Linked DNA regions of Canis lupus familiaris. The main gene of each other region encodes a partner of the protein of the gene in region 3 in a complex. Links are inferred from orthologs where the notes say so. Each region holds a gene or a part of one and is shown on either strand. Other genes may lie near its edges.

Region 1 (4,046 bases), on a different chromosome or scaffold from region 3:
AGTCCTTGGGTGATTTGTGAGGGAGGAAGCCCAGGGTGGGTCACGGGGGAGGACACTGGCCTTCCTGACCCGGTCTGAGCACCGTGAAGTGTTTTCCACGGTCTCAGCTCAGCTTATGCAAAGGGCAGAGGAAAGTTATCAAAATTTGTGGGTTGGTTTTAATCATCGACTGGCCAAGTATTGGAGCAGACCGCTGTCCTGGGGTTTCCTGGTTCGTCCTCAGTGACAGTCGGGGGTGGGTGACCAGTGGCTCTGCTTACTTCTTTGCTTGGGTGTGGGGAGCAGTGACAATGAACAGTAAGATCCAGGTGAACTCGGATCCCACAGGGAGGCCCAGGGAGGCCCAGATTCCAAGTGTACTCATGGCTAAGGGGGAGCACTCCTCCTCCCCACGAGCTGCAGAACTCGGGCTTCTGTCTCCTTCTCTTCTCTGTGGCTGGGATGCCAGAAAAACCTGGAGTCACCTGGCCCTGGGTCCGATTTCAGCCAACTGCCTTCTCAGACCTTCCATTTGCCCGCTGTTAAAATGAGCCACGGATCCTCGTTCTGGGGTGCCTAGTCCCCCAAGGCAGCCTCCAGCACAAGACTGGCTCCTGTGGGGTACTGCCCATCACTTCCCTTTTACTTTTTCTCCATCAGCTGGCCTCCACCCCCTGCCTGCCCCAGCTGCCCCCCCCATCCCCCTGTACCTCCCATCCTTCCACACTCCAGGACCCCCACACTCGCACCTGCTTGGGGGAGCCTTGCACTTTGCTCACACAATCCCTCATCTGGAGTGCCCTCTCTCTGGCACCACCTCTCAGGCACTGGCTCAAATGCTCAGAGGCCCCAACTCTCCCTCTGTGTAGCTCTGAGTTCCCCTCCCCAGAGATCCCCCACCCTGACCCCATCACTTCCTGCCTTGTCTTATGGACACATGTGTCAGGTGGCATCTTCCCCAGGGATCGGCTGTACCTTTTGCACCCTGGACTCGCCAGCATCTGACACTATGGCTGGCATACAGCAGGCACTCATTAAATGCTTGACACTTAGAATTAAGATGAACTGAATTTCTGGAAGCTTAAGTCTTTGGAGAACAACTGTGGCCCTACCCCAAGGGCAAGCGGGGAGGCCCCAGCACAGAGGGTCCCCAGGTCCCCTGCTGGCGTCCCAGCCCAGCACCTGAGGGGCCCCGAGTCCTACCAGACCGCATGCTCCGCCTTCTGCAAACGGCTGTTGGGGCAGCAGCTTGGGTAAGTTCCCCTTCCGCTTCCTCCTGCCTCCTGTCCTGCTGCTGCTGCTCCTCTGGCGGGGCGCCTTGCCAGGCTCTCCAAACCCCTGGAGCCCGCGGAAACGCTCTGTGCCCTGAGCTGTCACCGGCGCTACCTCCCAGGCCCGGAGCGAGATGCAGGCCATCAAGTGTGTGGTGGTGGGAGATGGGTAGGTACCTGGCTGCACCTCCTCACCTGGCAGAAGCTCTCTCCTGGGCTACCCCTGAGGCCCGCCTGCCCTGGAGTCTCTGGGGGGCAGCTGGGAGAAACCACTGCTCCCTTCTTGTCCTGGGGCCCAGGGAGAGCCCCCGAGGTAGGGAGAGGACAGCTTCATCCTCTTTGCCCACTTCACTCCGGAAGCTGCCTGGGTGGAGGTGGGTGGAGGTGGGTGGAGGGCACAAGACTGAGGGTGGAGGTGCCTGGGGCCCTTCACTTGCACCCTGAGAGCTGGAGCAGGTCTCTTACGGGAACCATCTTCAACTCTGTGGATGCAGGTGGGGGGTGGCCTTTTTCATCAGGCTGGCCTGGGCTCCAGTGGCTGGCTTGCATGGCTGTGTGTCCTTGGGCAAGCCACAGAGCCTCTCTGAACCTCAGCTCTGCCATCTGGGAAGAGACCACGCCCCCGGGATTGATGTGAGGGTCACCTGACATATTTTGAGTGGCTGTCCTGTGCAGAGAGTGCTCAAGAAGTATTAACCCCCCTCCCCCCTCCGGTGCTGTCCCCTCCGCCTCAGCCTGCCTGGTTGGGGAGGATGTGCGGGGTTTGTGGGCGAGGAGCAGAAGGGGGAGGGGGACACGAAAGGAAGGTGCAGCAAGGAGGGACAGGAGGGTGATTGGGAGGGTCAGTGAGGGCCAGGCTGGGCTGCGGGGGGGTGGGGGGGCAGGGGAGGGCCCTCAGCTGTCAGGTCTCAGTGGCCTCAGGTTGTCAGGTCCCCGCGGGTCTCTGTGTAACGACTGGTCTAAGCTGCCCATCTTGGTGCTGGCCAGCGACAATGTCTCTGGGTCCAGCCACCTGGGGTTTTCCGTGAGTCCAACCCAGCAAACCCCCCAGCATTTCTAGCTGGGCGGGCCTCCCTTGCAACTCTCCCATTCTGCAGAGGGGCAGCCTGAGGCCTGAAGAGACCCAGATCTTCCCGGGCCCGGGGCCCCGTGGCCCTGACCTGTCGGCCTGACTTGGGCTCTGATCAGTCTCATGGGAGCGGGTGCATTACCAGGCAGCCCTCTGCTGATTCTGAGGCACCGGCTTGGCCTTATCTGCCCCCGGCCCAGCCCCGCTCACTTCCTCTTTGTATCTGATCTGAGGAGGGGAGGGCAGAAGCCAGCATTCAGTCATTCAGAGTCACCTTGGTGGCAAGCTCTGGGGAGGGCAGCGGTGGGGAGAAGGTGGCCAGCCTCTTCAGCATAGGACGTGGCAACACCAGAGTGGAGCTGGAGGGGACAGGGCTGCCCCTCTGGCTGCTGGACTTCCCACTGCACAGCCCAGGTCCCCTCCCAGCCCAGCGGCCCCGCAGGCCCAGGGAAGGCAGCGCGCCACGGCCATCGCTGGCACTGACTACGGGCCAGGAGCTGGACCCCCTGGAACCCCTCCCATTTGATCTTCCCACCAACCTAACACTAGGCCCATTTTACAGGTGGGAAAACTGAGGCTCAGAGAAGTCAAGTAATTTGCCCAAGTCCTCGTGGGATTTGAGGCCAGGTCCCTCTGACTTCAAAACTCAGTGCTCTTAACTGCTGCTCTCTCGGGTGTCGGGTGAGGTGGGACGGGAAGAGGAGGGAGGTCAAGTAATTTGCCCTCATGTAGACTGGCTGCTACACTGTGCCAGACGTGGGCTGGCTTCTTCTATGGGCTTTTTTTTTTTTTTATTTTTTTTTATTTTTTTTTATTTTTTTATGATAGCCACAGAGAGAGAGAGAGAGGCAGAGACACAGGCAGAGGGAGAAGCAGGCTCCATGCACCGGGAGCCCGACGTGGGATTCGATCCCGGGTCTCCAGGATCGCGCCCTAGGCCGAAGGCAGGCGCCAAACCGCTGCGCCACCTAGGGATCCCTCTATGGGCTTCATCTAATCTACCACTCAGCGCGCTCCTAGGAGAAGTAGCTCATCTTCTCCCCATTTTCTAGATGGAGAAACTGAGGCTTCTGGAGGCTGAGTGCCTTGCCCGAGGCCGGAAGGTGGTGGAGCTGGTGTCTGGAGCTCTGGAGCCCAGGCGCGTGATCGCAGAGCCCTGGTCAGGCACTGTGGCTTGTCCCCTTCCGTTCAGTGGTCTCCTGGGTATCTCCCCGCCCCCTGGCCCCTTCTTTTTTTTGGGGGGGGGGGGCTGCACACTCGCATTATTTTATTTTGCTTTTCCAGTCTGAAGCTACTATCATGGGCGTTTAGTTATACAAATGACACAAAAAATAAAAGACCAAGACACCCAGAGTGAGATGTATGGCCGAGATGAACTGGTAGGGGCGGCTGGCAGGGGCAGGGCTGGGAGCCAGGGGCCTGGGGATTCCCCATGGGGCTCCCGGTGGAGGGTGACGCCCAGCTACATCCCACCCCGAGACCCGAGGAGTCCAGGACGGGGAGCACCGATCACACCGGGGGTTCTGGCTGAGGCGGCGAGGGGGCTCAGCACCACCAGATGGGGACAGAGGCCTAGGCAGCCCCCGGCCCCTTAACCCTGTGCCCCACATCCGGGTCACCTGGGAAAGCTGGTTAAAAATACAGATTCTGGCAGCCCCGTGGCTTGGCGGTTTAGCGCCACCTTCAGTCCAGGGCATGATCCTGGAGTCCTGGGATCAAGTCCCACG
Region 2 (3,512 bases), on a different chromosome or scaffold from region 3:
TATTTTTCTCACAGAGGCAGAATTGCAAGACATGAGGCTTTTTCTTTACGGTATTTAGTTGTCATTCCATTCTGTAAACCACATTGGAGCCTTACGCAGACCTCTGCTTTGCTGTCTCAATGTAACAAGACCCTAAGTTTTAGTGTTGAGAGTTGAGAGTATGTAAAAATGATTTTGAATTTTATCTTACAGGCTGATATATTGTGTCTTGTTTGGTACTTGCCCTGGTTTGAATTGCAATCCCAGATTTTTTCTTTTTTTTTTTTTCCTTTTCAAGATTTTATTCCTGAGAGGCAGAGGCAAAGACCTAGGCAGAGAAGCAGGCTCCCCACGAGGAGCCGGATGTGGGACTCAATCCCAGGGCCTCGGGATCACGCTCTGAGCCAAAGTCAGATAGATGCTAAACCACTGAGCCACCTAGGCGTCCTCAGAATTAATTTTTAGTGAAGTACTTGGTGGTACTTAGTGATTCTTGTTTGTTTTTTAAGTCCACCTTATTTTCTGCCTGCCAGGCTTCTCTGGGCTGCCTCTTATCATTAACTAGTTTTTGTGTAACAACTTTAAGTTAATTTAAGTACATGTGTATACTCACTCTTGAAATGTTACATGATAGCTTTTCTTTTCTTTTTTTAAGATTTTATTCATTCATAGAAGAAAGAGTCAGGGACAGGCAGAGGGAGAAGCAGGCTCGCCTCACACCATAACTTTTCAAAGCATTGCTTTGTGTTACCATAGCAGTTTGGTTGCAGGCCTCGGTGACCAAGGCTTGATGGTGATTGCCCTGCACTTAGTGCGGGTGTTCTGGAAGCACTGTAGAGTATGGCTTTGTGGTATGCCACCTTGTTGAAGATGAGTAACGTGTACACAAGTCAACAAGTGGGTTTGAGAGAGGGACTAATTTATACTTTGTTTCTTTCTGGAGAGAAAAATCTTAATGTTCTCTTCATTAAAAACAAAGGTTTTCTCTTGCTGACAGTCATTTGTTTTAGTTCAGTGGACTACCTTGTCCTTTGTGTCTGTCCCAGGCGTGTTTCTCCAGGTGCAGTGTTTTCGCCTTCCCCATACCCTGCAGCCCTTTCTCCTTCCATGTGGCTGCTCTGGCTCCTTGTGCCTGCATGCTGGCACCTTTGCTTTCAGGGGAGCCTCCAGGCCACTCCTGGCCTTGGCACACCTCTGAGACCCTTGCTATGATAGTCACTCAAACCCCCCATCTATGCCTTATGTTCCAGGGCTAAAGTGTTTTTTCTCCATTCTACAGCTTTGACAATTACTCTGCCAATGTTATGGTAGATGGAAAACCAGTGAATCTGGGCTTATGGGATACAGCTGGACAAGAAGATTATGACAGATTACGTCCCTTATCCTATCCGCAAACAGTAAGGATCATGACTGCTTTTTAATGTGTCCTTTAGAGTATGTAATTTTGACTGTGTAATTGCGTATCACCTACAGGTTTGCTTATACAGTTGGCACTTGAATGCACAGGTTTGAACTGCAGAGATCCACTTACACCAGGACTTTTTTTCCATAAATACATTACGGTACTGTAAGCATAGTTCCTCCTCAAGATTTTCTGGTTTTTTTTTTTTTTTTTTTTTTGTTCCTCAAGATTTTCTTAGTGACATTTTCTCTGGCTTACTTTAGTGTAAGAATGCAGTGTATATTACACATAACATATTTTACATGTATTAATCAACTGGTTATGTTATTGGTAAGGCTTCCCAGTCAGTAGCAGGCTGTTTCTTAAAGTTTCGGGGAGTCAAAGTAATACACAGGGTTTTGACTGCATAGGGGGTAGTCAGCACCTTTAACTACCCGCGTTGTTCAAGGGCCAGCTGTATTGCCATCTTTAGTAGCAAGGTTAAGTTCGGTAGTGAATGTCCTAGATGAGGACCAAGGATTTGTTTCTAATTTTTTAGCCTTACCAGCTACTAACGATGGTGCTATGTGTTCTACATGCTTTCATTTTAATTTCAGGACAGCCGCATGAAATAGGTACTGTTTTGTTCTTGCAAACCAGTTTCAACAATAATTACTTTTAAGATCAGTTTGCTTTGTGCCACAGAGTCAATTTAAACAGTTAAGGTTTTAAAAATCAAGTTAATGACTTCTCTTTTGGAATTAATATTATTTTTCTAATAAAACACATGCTCATCTTTCTACAGCGTTAGTATCTAAGTCTTCTCAATGTATATTCAGGTTTCGGTTTTGTAAAAATATGTCCACTGTGTCCAGTCAGAAAAACTTCTAGATTAGTTTTGCTTCCATTTCAGAGAATTTTAAATGATGTGTGTATCAAAGTGAATCAGTAATAGCTGGTTAAAATATGCTTAGAAACCACTTTACTTGAAATAAGCAATTGTCTTATTTGTACCATTTGCTTATCTTGTTACACGTTTGTTAGTCATTTTTAAAGTGTTTTAAACCAACTCTAGAGGCTCAGATGACTCACTGGCCAAAGGAAAATGCTCTAGGGGCAGTCAAGTGAATTTGTCAGGTTGAAATCCCATGCTCTGCTTCCTAGCTCTGTGACCCTGGCAGGTTTCTTCACAGCTCTAGTCATGACCTGTTTTCTCCTAGGATTAGATTAGCAATCAGTATAAGGCACACTGAATAGTTCCAGGCACATCACAGACAGTCTAGTGTAGCTGAGGTGAAGATTCATAGATCTGGACAGCTCTTCAAGTCCGAGCTGGCTGGGCCCAAATGAACAGAAGTTGCTGTACATGCTCTCAGCAAGCTAGGATGACCAGAGGAGGATCAGGTGGAGACATTCTGGAGTTTTTTAAAGTTAACTTTCTATTTAGTAAAATAAATTTAAAACTCTATTTTTTAGATTTATTTGAGACAGAAAGCACGAGAGTAGGGGGAGGGTGCGAGGGAGAGAACAAATCCCAAGCAGACCCTGTACTCAGTGCAGGGGTCGATGCAGGGCTCGATCTCATGACCCTGAGATCGTGACCAGAGCCAAAACCAAGGGTCAGACACTTAACCAACTGAGCCACCCAGGGGCCCCTAAACTTAGTGTGCGCATGTGCAAATGGGGAAAAGGGGCAGAGGGAGAGAATCTTCAAGCAGACTGCCTGCTGAGTGCAGAGCCCTGTGTGGGGCTCAATCTCATGACCCAGAGATCACAACCTGAGCTGAAATCAAGAGTTGGACACTCAGGACACACAACAAACTGAGCCAGCCAGCTATTCCCCCCACCCCCTTCCTTTTTTAAAGTTTTAAAGTTTTTTCCATGCAACAGTCATTGTCTTTTGTGTTTATTTTTTCAGCTGGAGGAATTCTCAAATACAATTAATTTGAACTGTGGATTTTTGCTACATTATAGTAATAGTGTTCAATAAAGACCAAACCCATAAAATGCTAAGTCTGAATGAGTGATGCCTCATTTAATCTCCAGCTAAAAATTAACTGTGATTAAGTTTTAAAAGTCAGCTCATAATCCCCAAATGGTTCGAAGTCTTCAGTATGTTTAGGAAACTTCTGTCCCCAGTGGGGGCTTGATA
Region 3 (3,951 bases):
ATTAAGTATGAATTCACGGTTTCAGCATGATCTAACAAATGGTATCCTGTGAGGGCAGTTGTAATTGTAGTTATTTTCATTTGTCATGAAGAAGAGCCCTGGCAGCTCAAGGAAATCAAGGATGGTAAAGAACCCCAAGGAAAATTGGCAGCCTTCACTCTGCTGGCCTAGTCAGTGTGACTCTTGGACAAGTTCCTCAATGATTCCATCTGGAGGGAGAGGCTTATTTCCCAAAGATCATTTCACAACATGTCGCTGAGCTCTCCATGCACAAAAGTGTCAGGAATCAGATGATTTAAAGAATATGGAAAGTCTCACTTGCCCCACCTATGTCACCCTTGGATGGATCTCTCCAAATTTGCCTGCCATTCTGGAGTTGGCATCAGATTTCTTCTTTAAGCTAAACAGTGGCACAGTAGTTCTTGGGAGAGGAGGGATGCTGCTGGGAATCTCTGATTCCCAGATAAACGCTTTAGTTTATCTAACACTGGGTGGCCTCAAGACTCGTGCCCAGGTGGTTGCAATGGAGGGATCGAGGCTAGTGGTGTTATTTGGGTTGGTCAGAATATTTATTTAAAGTGTTGAAAGGAAAAAAAAAAACAAAAAAAAAAAAAATAAATAAAGTGTTGAAAGGAATAAGAACCAGAATCTTTGATTAGAAATGTGAGCCAGTCAATATTGCATGAGATGGAACTTTTACTTACCCCAAGAAGTTTTCGAGTGTAAAAGAATTCTTCTCCATTGTTATAAACCCCATAGAACCAGATAAAGAGGAAGACGTTCAGCCCCAGCCACACCAGCTGCAAAAAGAGAAATAGTTGCGTGAAGTTTCCACATTTCCATAGGTAGATTTCACATAAGATTAGAGTCAGACTGGGGTCAGGACTTCCCCAGTCTAGCCTTCAACGAAGCTGATCACAAATTTGGGTGTAACCAGCTCAAAGTCAGCTTTTTCCTACAACAGTGCCACTACACTTTGTGATTGACCTTTCCACCTTGTGTGGTTTCCCATGATTCTTTCTCTACCAGCCAGTATGCCAGGTTATTATTAGTCTATCACCCCTTTGTCTTTTTCCTCTTCTTTTCTTCTGGAGCTTAAATAGATAGCGGTGAGTGAGTCTTCTCAAAAAAGAAGGGAAAGGCATATGCTACTATATAGTCCCCTGCACCTGTAAGACATTGTATCCTATTCTCGTGGGTGCCATCGCCTCCCTCCACCACATGGCACCCCACCCCAGCTAGTGGGAGTCACATCAGCTAGAACGTCAAGCCTTTGATTCTATTTGGTAAGTTTGCTTAACTTTTAAAAGAGGGAATATTGAACAGGAACAAGGGGTAAGGAGCATGGGATTTTGTTTTTTTTTTTTAAAGAGACCCTTTTACATTTTGACTGCTCATTGCATCCCAAGCACAGATTGCATTAAGTGGAGGCACTGCTCAGTCTCTAACCTTCAGCTCCGTAGTGATATTTTCTTACTTGTGCTTTAATGCCATTAAATGTCTATGGGTGCTTAAGAATGAACTCTTTATGAAGAAGAAGGTATTAAAACTACTTCTCCATTCTTACTCTTGCTTTCCAAGATGTGTCTTTACTGTGAAGCATATGAGTGTGCAATTTAGGAGGAGGTCATCTCCTGGGGAAAACTGTGGTAGGAGCTAAAAGTATAATATGAACTTGTTTTCTATAGGAATAATCTGTTCTCAAAATGGTGATAAGAAGCCAAGTGAACAGCTCTGAGTCCTCAGAAGAATTCTATATGGCATTAGAATGTTGGTTTGGCATATTTTTTTTAATGACACAGTATTTCTTGCTTTTATTTGTGACACAAATTCCTCTCTATGTCTGCAACTCAAAGGCTCAATATTTACTTTATGATAAATTCTTTCAGAAATTCCACTCACAAGTGTTCTTTTTTAGCATCAGTACAATACTTTCATTGGCTATTTGGAAAGGCTAATTATAAATCACATTTCTATCTTCCCAATTGTCCGTGATCGCTTTGCTGAGACCGCCATCTTAAAATAATAGTTGGTCCTTGTTATGGTAAAAGACTAAAGATATTAACATGAAAATTAGCCCTATCTTTACTTACAAAAATTGTTTCTTAAAATAAACTAGATTTATACATATATATTTATATATATACATAATATATATCCACTGTATTTATGAGTCTAGTTTATTTCAATTTCCTTCCCTTGAATTTCTATAAACCTTGTAAACAACTCAAGTTTACCTCAGAGAAAAAAAGGTACTTTTTAAAAAAAGAAAGTTGAGAACGTCAATTAGTTTTGGTGTAATCACTGAAATAAAGGCCAATTTCCCATACATGAGTCAGCCTTGTACCTGTTATTTGGAAGATGGTGTAAAATTATGATTCCCCATTCTTAAGTGGTATAAGCACATAAAAAGTGGAGAATTTGCCTCTGAGTAAATATTAATAAACAACTTAGACTTGTAGATTATTAGCATGAAATGTCTTCTACTTGCTCTGTGAAATGCTGGCTACTTTAGTACTCCCAGATTCAAGTAATAAGTAGGCGAAGTGATCCCCCAGATACATTCTTATCATTAATAAGTTTGGAAGAATGCACTCAGTCTTGCTTACAGATAGATGTATGTTCACATGGTAAATCAGTTTCAATACAATTTCTCAAAGAAATAAAACAAACGAACAAAATAATTTTGCCCTATTTTAGTTTTCCGGAGAACCCCAACAAGTTCAAGAATTTATCATTTCTCTCTCATTGGTACTTACAATGACAAAGATGGAGAGCCCCTCATTCTCAATCCAGTTCCCCATGGTGACAAAGGTTCAATGCCTTGTGTCTGCCTTTCTTCTCTGCTCTGCTTCTTCTTCCCATGAGGAAATGAAAACAGCAGCCTTGGGGCAATCGGTTTCCTTTTCTATTATCAGAAATTAGCTAATCATTGGTCAACTGAAAATCTTGTTTCCATAAGAACTTTAAATCTTTAAACCACAAAAAAAGCTGCAGAAAAAAGGTCTAAAATAATCCAGTCATAACTAAACCGAGTAGGAAATGAGACCAATTTCTACAACTGAGAGACAAATAACAGTCCAATGATGGTATATATTTTACACAGGGACTTAACTTTTTGATTAATTGGTTATCAAGTAGTAATTTTTAAAAAGTCACTCAACCAGCCATGACTTCATGCTGGATAAAAATATTACATATCTTTTGACAGACTGAGCAGCATTTTACAGTCTTGTTGAGAATAATAACAACAATGATGGTTGATACTTATAGCATACTTACCTCATGCCAATTTTCTAAGATACATATGTGTGTGCATACACATATACACACATACATATACAAACATATATATTTACATATGATTTGATACATGCCAAACACAGACACGCATATTAAATTCAGTATATAAATAAATTCACTTGATTCTAACAATTCAACCCCTATAGAATAGTTTTTTATAAGATCTTTTTAGTTTTTGAATTTTTATTTAAGTTTTGTTAGTTAACAGTGCAATATTGGCTTCTGGAGTAGAATTCAGTGATTCATAAAGATTTTATTTTTAAATAATCTCTACACCCAACATGGGGCTTGAACTCACAACCCTGAGATCAACAGTCACATGGTCTACCAACTGAGCCAGCCAGGCGCCCCTAAAGTAGTTTCTATTACTATGATTATGCTTACAGATAAGGAAATTGAGACCCAGAGCAGTTAAGTTACTTGGCCACGGTCATGTAATTAGGAAATAGTAAAGTTGGGATTTGAAATCCAAGCACTTTGGCTATACTTCTAACCGGATGCCAGAAAAAAAAAAAAAAAAAAAGCCTAACTGTGTCAACCCCATCCAAAATCACTTCAAATACAATTACAGGAAGTAAAAATATAACAAATATAGCAAAATGTTTGGATGACTATAGTATTCCCAGGAAGACATGACATCCTCTAGGT
Region 4 (4,280 bases), on a different chromosome or scaffold from region 3:
ATGAATAAATAAATAAAATCTTAAAAAAAAAAAGAAAAGAATGCAAGTAAGTGTAACAAAGTAGAATTTCCTGGGTCTCCTCTCAGTTCTACCTAAATCCTGAGGAATAAGATCACTTCCAGCTGCAGCAAGCAGGAAGGACCTAAAGGAGGTACTAACAATTCAAATGCACCTTCAAGATAGGGAAGGGGAGTCTTCCTGGAGGAGACAGAGTGTGAGCTGAGGGGTCAGGGAGCCCGCTGTGCTCAGGCACAGCCCAGCTCTGCTGCAGCTGGGGTAGATGGTCTCAAAGTGTGGGTCCTGGACCAGCGGATTAGCAACAGATGACGTTGCAGCCCCCTCCCACCACTAGGAACAAGTGCCAGCAATCTGTGCTTCCACAAGCCTGCCAGGTGATTCAGATGCCTGCCCAGGTTAGGAAGCCACGGGCAGAGAGAAGCTGAAGCAGATGGGTCAGGTCGCGTGCCTGTGTTGGTAAGCCTCCTGGGGTTACGTGTACCCGTGCACACACGTTTCTCTGTAAGGGACTACGCGTTGCACTAATCTTACGAAGGCTGTAAAACATGTTGAGAATAGGAAAGGGACAAAGGAGAAGAGAAGCTCCCCTGTTCTTCCAACATCCCGCTGAGGTGGTGGGTGGGGGCTCCTCCTGACCGCAGCCAGGTGATGGGGTCCTGCTCGGGTCCTCACCTGCGGCAGTAAGAGAAAGTGGCATTTGGCGGAGGGAGCAGGTGGGCCTCCTACGTGGCCATCGCAAGGTTTTCCCGGAGAAAACTGCCTTTCCCACGGCAATCCTTTGTGGACAGGCTAGCCCGCGAGAGCCGGGCCCGGTTCCGGGAGCCTCGGCGCCGCGGCAGTCACCGCAGCGGGGCTCATTTTTTATGACGACTTGTCAGTGCGTGAACAAGCTATTCATGCTCCTTCGATGTTACTGAAGCTTTAGCATTTTTGCCAGAGCTGGTGCACGTGTACTGTTAGATTATCTTCGCTTTTTGTTTATCGATTTTTTTTTTTTTTTTAAAGATTTCATTTGAGAGCAAGAGGGGCTGGGTGGGGAGGTGCGGACCCCGGGGTCGGGACCTGAGCACACGCTCCACCGACTGGGCCACCAGCTGCTTTGATCAACGTTTTATTTTTATTTTTCTATTTTTTTAAAGATTTATTTATTTATGATAGAGAGAGGCAGAGACACGGGCAGAGGGAGCAGCAGGCTCCATGCGGGGAGCCCGACGCGGGACTCGATCCCAGGTCTCAGGAATCGCGCCCTGGGCCAAAGGCAGGCGCTAAACCGCTGCGCCACCCAGGGATCCCCTGATCAATGTTTTAAGGGAGACTTTTGAGGCCCAGTTTACCTTTCCAGGCTTCCTGGGGCGTCGCTCCCGCGCCCCGAGGCGCCGGCTCCCCCGCCGCCCTCCGCCGCGGGCGCTGCGGCAAGAGGCCCCGCCCCGGAAGTCGGGCCCGCCTCGCCCGGAAGTCAGCCGTCCCGCCCCCAACCCCGGAAGTGGGCGGCCCGCCGCGCGCCGCGAGGTCCCGGCTCAGCGCCCGCGGGGTCGTGTGTTCGGTAGGCGCGGGGGTCGGGCCGCCGTCGGGGCTGCGGGCGGGCTGCGGGCGGGCTGCGGGCGGCGCGTGGTGGCGGGAGCGCCGGGCGCGGGGGCCCTGGCTGTGGGGAGCCGCTGACCCCCGCGCCCGCCGCCGTTCGGGCAGCCCGGTGCCGCGCCGCGGAGCCCACCCTCGGTGCGTGCGCGGAGAGCCCGGAGCCCCGCCTGCTGGGTGCCAGCCGCGTCCGCGCGCCTCGGTCCGCGGGCCGGCAGCACCCGCCCCCGGCCCCTCCCCCCTTCCCCCGTCGGTCCCCCCTCCCCCTCCCTCCCCGCCGATCCCTCCCCCCGCCCCCCCGCGCCTCGGCCGCCCGAGGACGCTCGCAGTTCCCTTTCTTGGCGGGGACCGCGCGCTCCGGGAGGCTGCGCCGGGGCGAGGCTCGCGTGCTGCTGGGGCCGCGGGTTCCCGGTGCCCCCGGGCCGGCTCCCCGCGGGCGGGCGGTTGGACCCCAGCCGCGGTCTGCCCTCGCCCTTCCCCAGCCCGTCTGCGTCGGAGCGCTGCCCGCCCAGGCCCGGGATGTACATGCAGGTGGAGTCCCGCAGCAGCTCCTGCCTCCATCTGAAGAGGGCTCCGGGCATCAGGTCCTGGTCTTTGCTTGTTGGTAAGGATTTCCGTATTTCCCCCAAGCTAAAAACCTAACTTTAAAAACACGGAAACAGGGATCCCCGGGTGGCACAGCGGTTTGGCGCCTGCCTTTGGCCCAGGGCTCGATCTTGGAGTCCCGGGATCGAGTCCCACGTCGGGCTCCCGGTGCATGGAGCCTGCTTCTCCCTCCTCTTCTGTCTCTGCCTCTCTCTCTATGATAAATAAATAAATAAATAAATCTTAACTAAAAAATAAAAAAATAAAAACAACGGAAACAAAACTGTCTTGTTGCCCCCAAGTACAACAATTATCTCATATCTTTCTAGCTTTTATCCTCCGTGCGATTGTCCTTTTTCCACCTTCACCTTAAGGTTGTGCCTGTTCTCCCGAGGTCCTGGTGTTCTCCTTTTCCTTGCCTCCCAATGCCCGGGTGCGGGCGTCAGGCTGGGCGGTGGGCCCCAGTTCGCTCCTTCACTGTCCCTCTGGGCGTCCAGCACGCGGGGGCAGCTGCAGGCCATTGGTGGGCCTGGTGTGAGGAGTGGTGTGGCTGTGCCTTCAGCAGCCTGCCTCTGGTCCGTCATTCCCGACACCCTGCTCGTGGCCACCTGCCTGTAGTGCTTCATGTGCCACACGTGGTCCTTGCGCACATGCTGCGCTGGTAGAGTAAACCCCTGCTGTCCGGCTCCTCCCTCTGGTTCGCTGGTCAGCCCTGGAGCCCCAGGTAGAGGAACAGATTCCCGGAACGCAGAATGGCATTTGCCATGGTCCCAAGCGCGCCTCCTGCCTCTTGCCCTCCTTCCTGAGCCATGGTCTCTGGTTCCCCTGCTCCCCACCTCCAGGCACCCTGGCACCAGGAAGGCCTGCTCTCCCTGCACCTCTGGGCCTGTGGCTCCAAGTGAGGGGGCCCTAGGCCGCTGGTGGCCCAATAGAAGCACCTGCTTTCTTTTCTCTTTGCAGGAATCTTGTCCATTGGCCTGGCTGCTGCATACTACAGTGGAGGTGAGGTGCATCCCCCTGCCTCCCTCCCCTCCCCCCTCCCGCCCACCCTGTCACTTAGTCTGTTTGAGAAATAGAGAAAAGAGAGAGAGAACTCACCATTAGTGGTGCCCACTGAGCCCCAGCCTTTGGGGCCACAGGCACCTGTGCAGGTGCTGCCCCAGCCTGAGCACTGGTGCATCCTTCCTAATAGCCTGTCCCGTGCCACCTGTGCTCTTCCCTTCTCGTATCTGGAGCACTTTCCCTGGTGATGAAACTTTCTTAAAAGGTGCTCTTGTATTTGCCTGAGGCTGTTGCAGGCTAAGCCACACTTGTAGCTGCTCCTGCAGGTGGCTCCCTCCACCGTCACAGTCACACCGTGTCTCCAGCAGATGCTGCAGGGAGAGTGGAGGGCACAGAGCTGGCCGGACATTTCACATATGGTTCCAAGTGACAGGCAGGGCCAGCAGTGCCGGGCGGCCACCCTGGGCCAGGTCTGCTGGCCCCAGGTGCCACCCCTGCCCGGTATCGGCTGGCGAGGGGGCCCATGGCACGCAGGCCTCCGCCCGCTGCTGCTGCCCCTCACCCGCTGCCTGTTGTTTGCTCTGCAGATAGTTTGGGCTGGAAGCTCTTCTATGTCACCGGCTGCCTGTTCGTGGCCGTGCAGAACCTGGAGGACTGGGAGGTAAGGCCAGCGCAGGCGAGGGTGGGGGCGCCGTGGGAATCACCGCAGGGGGAGAGGCTCAGAGGCCTCACACACCCCCTGTCCTCAAACTTCAGCTTCGAGGTTTCTGGTTAGTAGGACTCAGCCCCTGGGCAGAGGGATCCCCCGAAGCTGTATTTCTCCTAGACGCGCTTTGCGACTGCTTCCACCGAATTCCTTGCTCCGTGGTGTTGCCGTAGCACGGAGCAGATTGAAGGTGCCCTGGGTGAGGGACCGTCTCCTTGGTGGGCCCTTCCTGAGGAACCACAGGACCCACGGTTGCTCTCTGGCCCCCACTCCCGTTTAGTGACCTCAGCTTGGGGAGAGCACCTGCTCTGATGCCTCTCTTTGTCTCCACGCCCCCTGGCCCCGTGCTCCCGACACGTGGGAGCCCAAGAGGGTGTGGCTGTAGGTGTCCGGC
Region 5 (2,858 bases), on a different chromosome or scaffold from region 3:
AGGGCGTGATCCTGGAGACCCGGGATCGAGTCCCACATCGGGCTCCCGGTGCATGGAGCCTGCTTCTCCCTCTGCCTGTTTCTCTGCCTCTCTCTGTTTGTCTATCTCTCTCTCTGTCTCTTATGAATAAATTAATTTAAAAAGCTTTAAAAACAATCTTAGAGACGGGCAGCCCTGGTGGCTCAGCGGTTTGGTGCTGCCTTCAGCCCAGGGCGTGATCCTGGAGACCTGGGATCAAGTCTCACGTCGGGCTCCCTGCATGGAGCCTGCTTCTTCCTCTGCCTGTTTCTCTGCATCTCTCATGAATAAATAAATAAAATCTTTAAAAAAAAATCTTAGAGAAACTGAAGCTGAGCTGTATGCAAGGGTGCAGGGTGGGGGGAGAGACCCACCCCATGGGCAGCAGTAGGTGCAGAGGTGAGAATCAGGGCTCTGTAGGCAGAATGCTGGGAGACAATACAAAAGGGTCATGGGTAGGCAGCCCCGGTGGCGCAGCGGTTTGGCGCCGCCTGCAGCCTGGGGTGTGATCCTGGAGACCCGGGATCGAGTCCCACATCGGGCTCCCTGCGTGGAGCCTGTTTCTCCCTCTGCCTGTGTCTCTGCCTCTCTCTCTCTGTGTCTGTGAATAAATAAATAAAATCTTTAAGAAAAAAAAAAAAGGGTCAGGGGTAAGCATTTTCCAGAAATGGAGAAATCTCAGATTGAAAGAAAGCAGAGCCCATTGCAGAATAAAGGAAAACCAATCCCTTTTTGGACACATGGTAATGAAATTACAGACCATTAAAGGAAATCTTAAAATTTACCAGAGGGAAAAAGTGGTTTCGTAGCAGCCTGACTGCAGACTTCTCAGGAGCCGCTGCTGGGAGCCGAGGGAAGAGAATTTTAGGTGCCGAGAAAAAGGACGGATTCAGGACCCGGGGGGGACCTCAAAGGATGCTTGTTAGCAGGGGTGGGTGTGGGTGTGGGTGTGGGTGGGTGCTGAGTCCCGCAGACAGGACAGGCTGCGAGGAGGTGGAGGGGCTTTGAAAATGAGCACCGATGGTAAATAATTAATCATGGTGAGGTCAAGTCTACACATGATCCAGGAAGAGAAGCTTTAGATTTTTTTTTTTTAAGATTTTATTCATGCGAGACACAGAGAAAGATCAACATGTCCTGATTGTACCTCGAGTGATCGCTGTTCGTTCTGGGGATGCTCGCACAGCAGGGCGTGGACTTAGACCGCCTGAGCGGTGGACTTTAACATGGCTAAAACAGAACATTTTATGTTATGTATATTTTACCGCAATAAATTATAAAAAAAAAAAAAAAGATAATTTCTGGGGAGAAAAGATGCAGAGGTATGCCGCCTCCAGCAGCCAGCAGGAGGCAGGACCACGTGGGCTGGAGTGGCCCACAGCAGCCCCGGGAAGGGCATAGGGATATCGGTGTCTGTCGGCTGGAGGCCAGGTGACCAGTGGGACATAGGAGCGCTGTGCAGCTGGGAGCCTCGCCCATCCACAGGAGCACACACAAAGGGACAGTGTCATCTTGAGATGCAGAAAGCAAGCACTCGAAACGGCCAGGGGTCGCAGAGCCCTGCAGAGTGGACGGCTGCGGTGAAGACCAGCCCCAGCGGCCCTCCTGGGGCTCTAAGGCTGGGTGTCCCCCAGCTGCTGCTGGGACCCAGACCTGGCTCCCCCCACGCACTGCTCTTTTCACCCCTTCCCCAACTTGCCTGTCACTTTCTAGGGGTTTCTCCTTCTGTGTCCCCTGCACAGATAAACATGTTGTCCCATGTGGTGGATGATGGCCTGGCCAAGGGAGGGGAGCCCACGGAGAGTGGCCAGAGCACCCTACAGCCCCCAGCCCTGCACCTGCGATGGGGGCACATTCCTCCTGCTAACCTGCTTCTCCTCTGCCCACAGTCCTCATCATGGGAGGCATCGTGGCCACCGCCGGCCAGTTCACCAAGTGGTACTTCGGCGCCTACTCCATGTATCCTGCCACCGCAGAGTCCAGGCTAGGGTCGGGGGCAGGACTTCTGGGCACAGGGTGGGGCTGCTGCTGTCCCTGGGGGCATAGCACTAAACAGTTTGCAGAGTGCTACCCCCATTTGTGGGCCCTTGAGACACTCCACAGCGCTGGGGAGGGCAGGATGGGGCTCGGTCACACAGTGGGACTGAGCAGGGCAGCAGCCTGCCCGAGGCCGGGCGTGGGTCCGCAGCAGGCCCATGAAGACTGGCCTGGGGAGAGGTGTCAGAAGCCCTGAGGCCTTGGGGATTCCTGGGATCCCCTCCAGGCCCCCTCTATCAGCCGTCCCCCAGGGTTGGCCTGGGATCCATCGGAACAGGCTCAGCCCCTCTGGCCCAGCTGTGACAGGCCCACCGAGGCAGGCGTGGGGGGGGATGGAGGGCTCATGCGGGCAGCACAGTGGCAGACTCTGCTGAGTGACCTCTGGGAAGCAACCTAACCCTCTGTCTTCTCATCCGCAAAGGGGGCTCACTGAGACCCCCGGGCTGTGTGGCGGCTCCTTAACGGCACCTGCAGCGGAGCAGGCGTGTTTGTGTGCCTGCTGGAGTATCCGCGCGGGAAGAGGAGGAAGGGATCCACCATGGAGAGATGGTGAGCCCCCAGCCCTGCTCCGGGCCACCCCACGGGAGCACCCTCCTTCCAGGGCCTGCCCAGCCACCGTGGCCCCCCACTCAGTCCTAAGGAGTGAGAAGCCAAGGTGCTCTAGGGAGGAGGGTGCTGTGTGGGATACAGTGTCTTCCCTCCCCTCTGCCTAGTGGACAGAAGTACATGACCAAAGTGGTGAAGGTGTTCGGGCCTCTCTCCAGGAACTACTACATCCGGGCCTTCCTGCACCTTGGGTGAGT

Evidence for each region.
Region 1: CYBB (region 3) and RAC2 share a complex: the UniProt entries of both Homo sapiens proteins name them as parts of the phagocyte NADPH oxidase complex. The link is inferred for Canis lupus familiaris from reciprocal best matches to the Homo sapiens genes CYBB and RAC2.
Region 2: CYBB (region 3) and RAC1 share a complex: the UniProt entries of both Homo sapiens proteins name them as parts of the phagocyte NADPH oxidase complex. The link is inferred for Canis lupus familiaris from reciprocal best matches to the Homo sapiens genes CYBB and RAC1.
Region 4: the proteins of CYBB (region 3) and CYBC1 are in contact, whole or in part, in a cryo-EM structure (PDB 8KEI), measured with the Homo sapiens proteins. The link is inferred for Canis lupus familiaris from reciprocal best matches to the Homo sapiens genes CYBB and CYBC1. Residues at the interface, in NP_000388.2 of Homo sapiens: Trp28, Asn74, Leu75, Leu76, Ser77, Phe78, Leu79, Arg80, Gly81, Ser82, Ser83, Ala84, Cys85, Cys86, Trp206, His210, Phe212, Pro266, Met268, Trp270, Lys271, Ile273, Tyr280, Tyr324, Phe326, Lys328, Leu335, Glu336, Trp337, His338; in NP_001028218.1 of Homo sapiens: Arg22, Leu26, Ala37, Ser41, Gly42, Asp43, Trp47, Phe50, Tyr51, Phe57, Gln61, Asn62, Glu64, Lys77, His97, Asp98, Gln99, Val100, Val101, Val102, Leu103, Arg108, Ser111, Glu115, Val117, Arg118, Tyr119, Phe120, Arg129, Ala131.
Region 5: the proteins of CYBB (region 3) and CYBA are in contact, whole or in part, in a cryo-EM structure (PDB 8X2L), measured with the Homo sapiens proteins. The link is inferred for Canis lupus familiaris from reciprocal best matches to the Homo sapiens genes CYBB and CYBA. Residues at the interface, in NP_000388.2 of Homo sapiens: Thr116, Ile117, Leu120, Phe121, Val123, Glu124, Asn128, Asn133, Lys161, Asn162, Pro163, Gly166, Leu167, Ala170, Val180, Thr183, Leu184, Ile187, Leu188, Thr191, Ser192, Thr194, Lys195, Thr196, Ile197, Arg199, Ser200, Tyr201, Glu203, Val204; in NP_000092.2 of Homo sapiens: Gln3, Ile4, Glu5, Trp6, Met8, Trp9, Glu12, Gln13, Ala16, Ile20, Thr23, Val27, Gly31, Phe33, Thr34, Gln35, Arg56, Arg59, Met65, Gly102, Phe103, Leu104, Leu105, Ala106, Ile108, Leu109, Ala112, Cys113, Ile116.

The regions. Positions count from the first base shown.
Region 1 is NC_049231.1:28,294,997-28,299,042, forward strand, and holds the start of RAC2 (ras-related C3 botulinum toxin substrate 2), read left to right. Parts: upstream 1-1,234; 5' UTR 1,235-1,384; coding exon 1,385-1,419; intron 1,420-1,684; exon of another isoform or gene 1,685-1,745; intron 1,746-4,046. UniProt on the Homo sapiens protein: Plasma membrane-associated small GTPase which cycles between an active GTP-bound and inactive GDP-bound state.
Region 2 is NC_049227.1:11,830,574-11,834,085, forward strand, and holds part of RAC1 (ras-related C3 botulinum toxin substrate 1 precursor), read left to right. Parts: intron 1-1,258; coding exon 1,259-1,376; intron 1,377-3,512. UniProt on the Homo sapiens protein: Plasma membrane-associated small GTPase which cycles between active GTP-bound and inactive GDP-bound states.
Region 3 is NC_049260.1:32,670,676-32,674,626, reverse strand, and holds the start of CYBB (cytochrome b-245, beta polypeptide), read right to left. Parts: upstream 2,805-3,951; coding exon 2,760-2,804; intron 801-2,759; coding exon 705-800; intron 1-704. UniProt on the Homo sapiens protein: Catalytic subunit of the phagocyte NADPH oxidase complex that mediates the transfer of electrons from cytosolic NADPH to O2 to produce the superoxide anion (O2(-)).
Region 4 is NC_049230.1:759,855-764,134, forward strand, and holds the start of CYBC1 (cytochrome b-245 chaperone 1), read left to right. Parts: upstream 1-1,474; 5' UTR 1,475-1,561; intron 1,562-2,075; 5' UTR 2,076-2,112; coding exon 2,113-2,197; intron 2,198-3,138; coding exon 3,139-3,180; intron 3,181-3,767; coding exon 3,768-3,841; intron 3,842-4,280. UniProt on the Homo sapiens protein: Functions as a chaperone necessary for a stable expression of the CYBA and CYBB subunits of the cytochrome b-245 heterodimer. Controls the phagocyte respiratory burst and is essential for innate immunity.
Region 5 is NC_049226.1:65,179,112-65,181,969, forward strand, and holds part of CYBA (cytochrome b-245 alpha chain), read left to right. Parts: intron 1-1,907; coding exon 1,908-1,977; intron 1,978-2,529; coding exon 2,530-2,604; intron 2,605-2,768; coding exon 2,769-2,852; intron 2,853-2,858. UniProt on the Homo sapiens protein: Subunit of NADPH oxidase complexes that is required for the NADPH oxidase activity that generates, in various cell types, superoxide from molecular oxygen utilizing NADPH as an electron donor.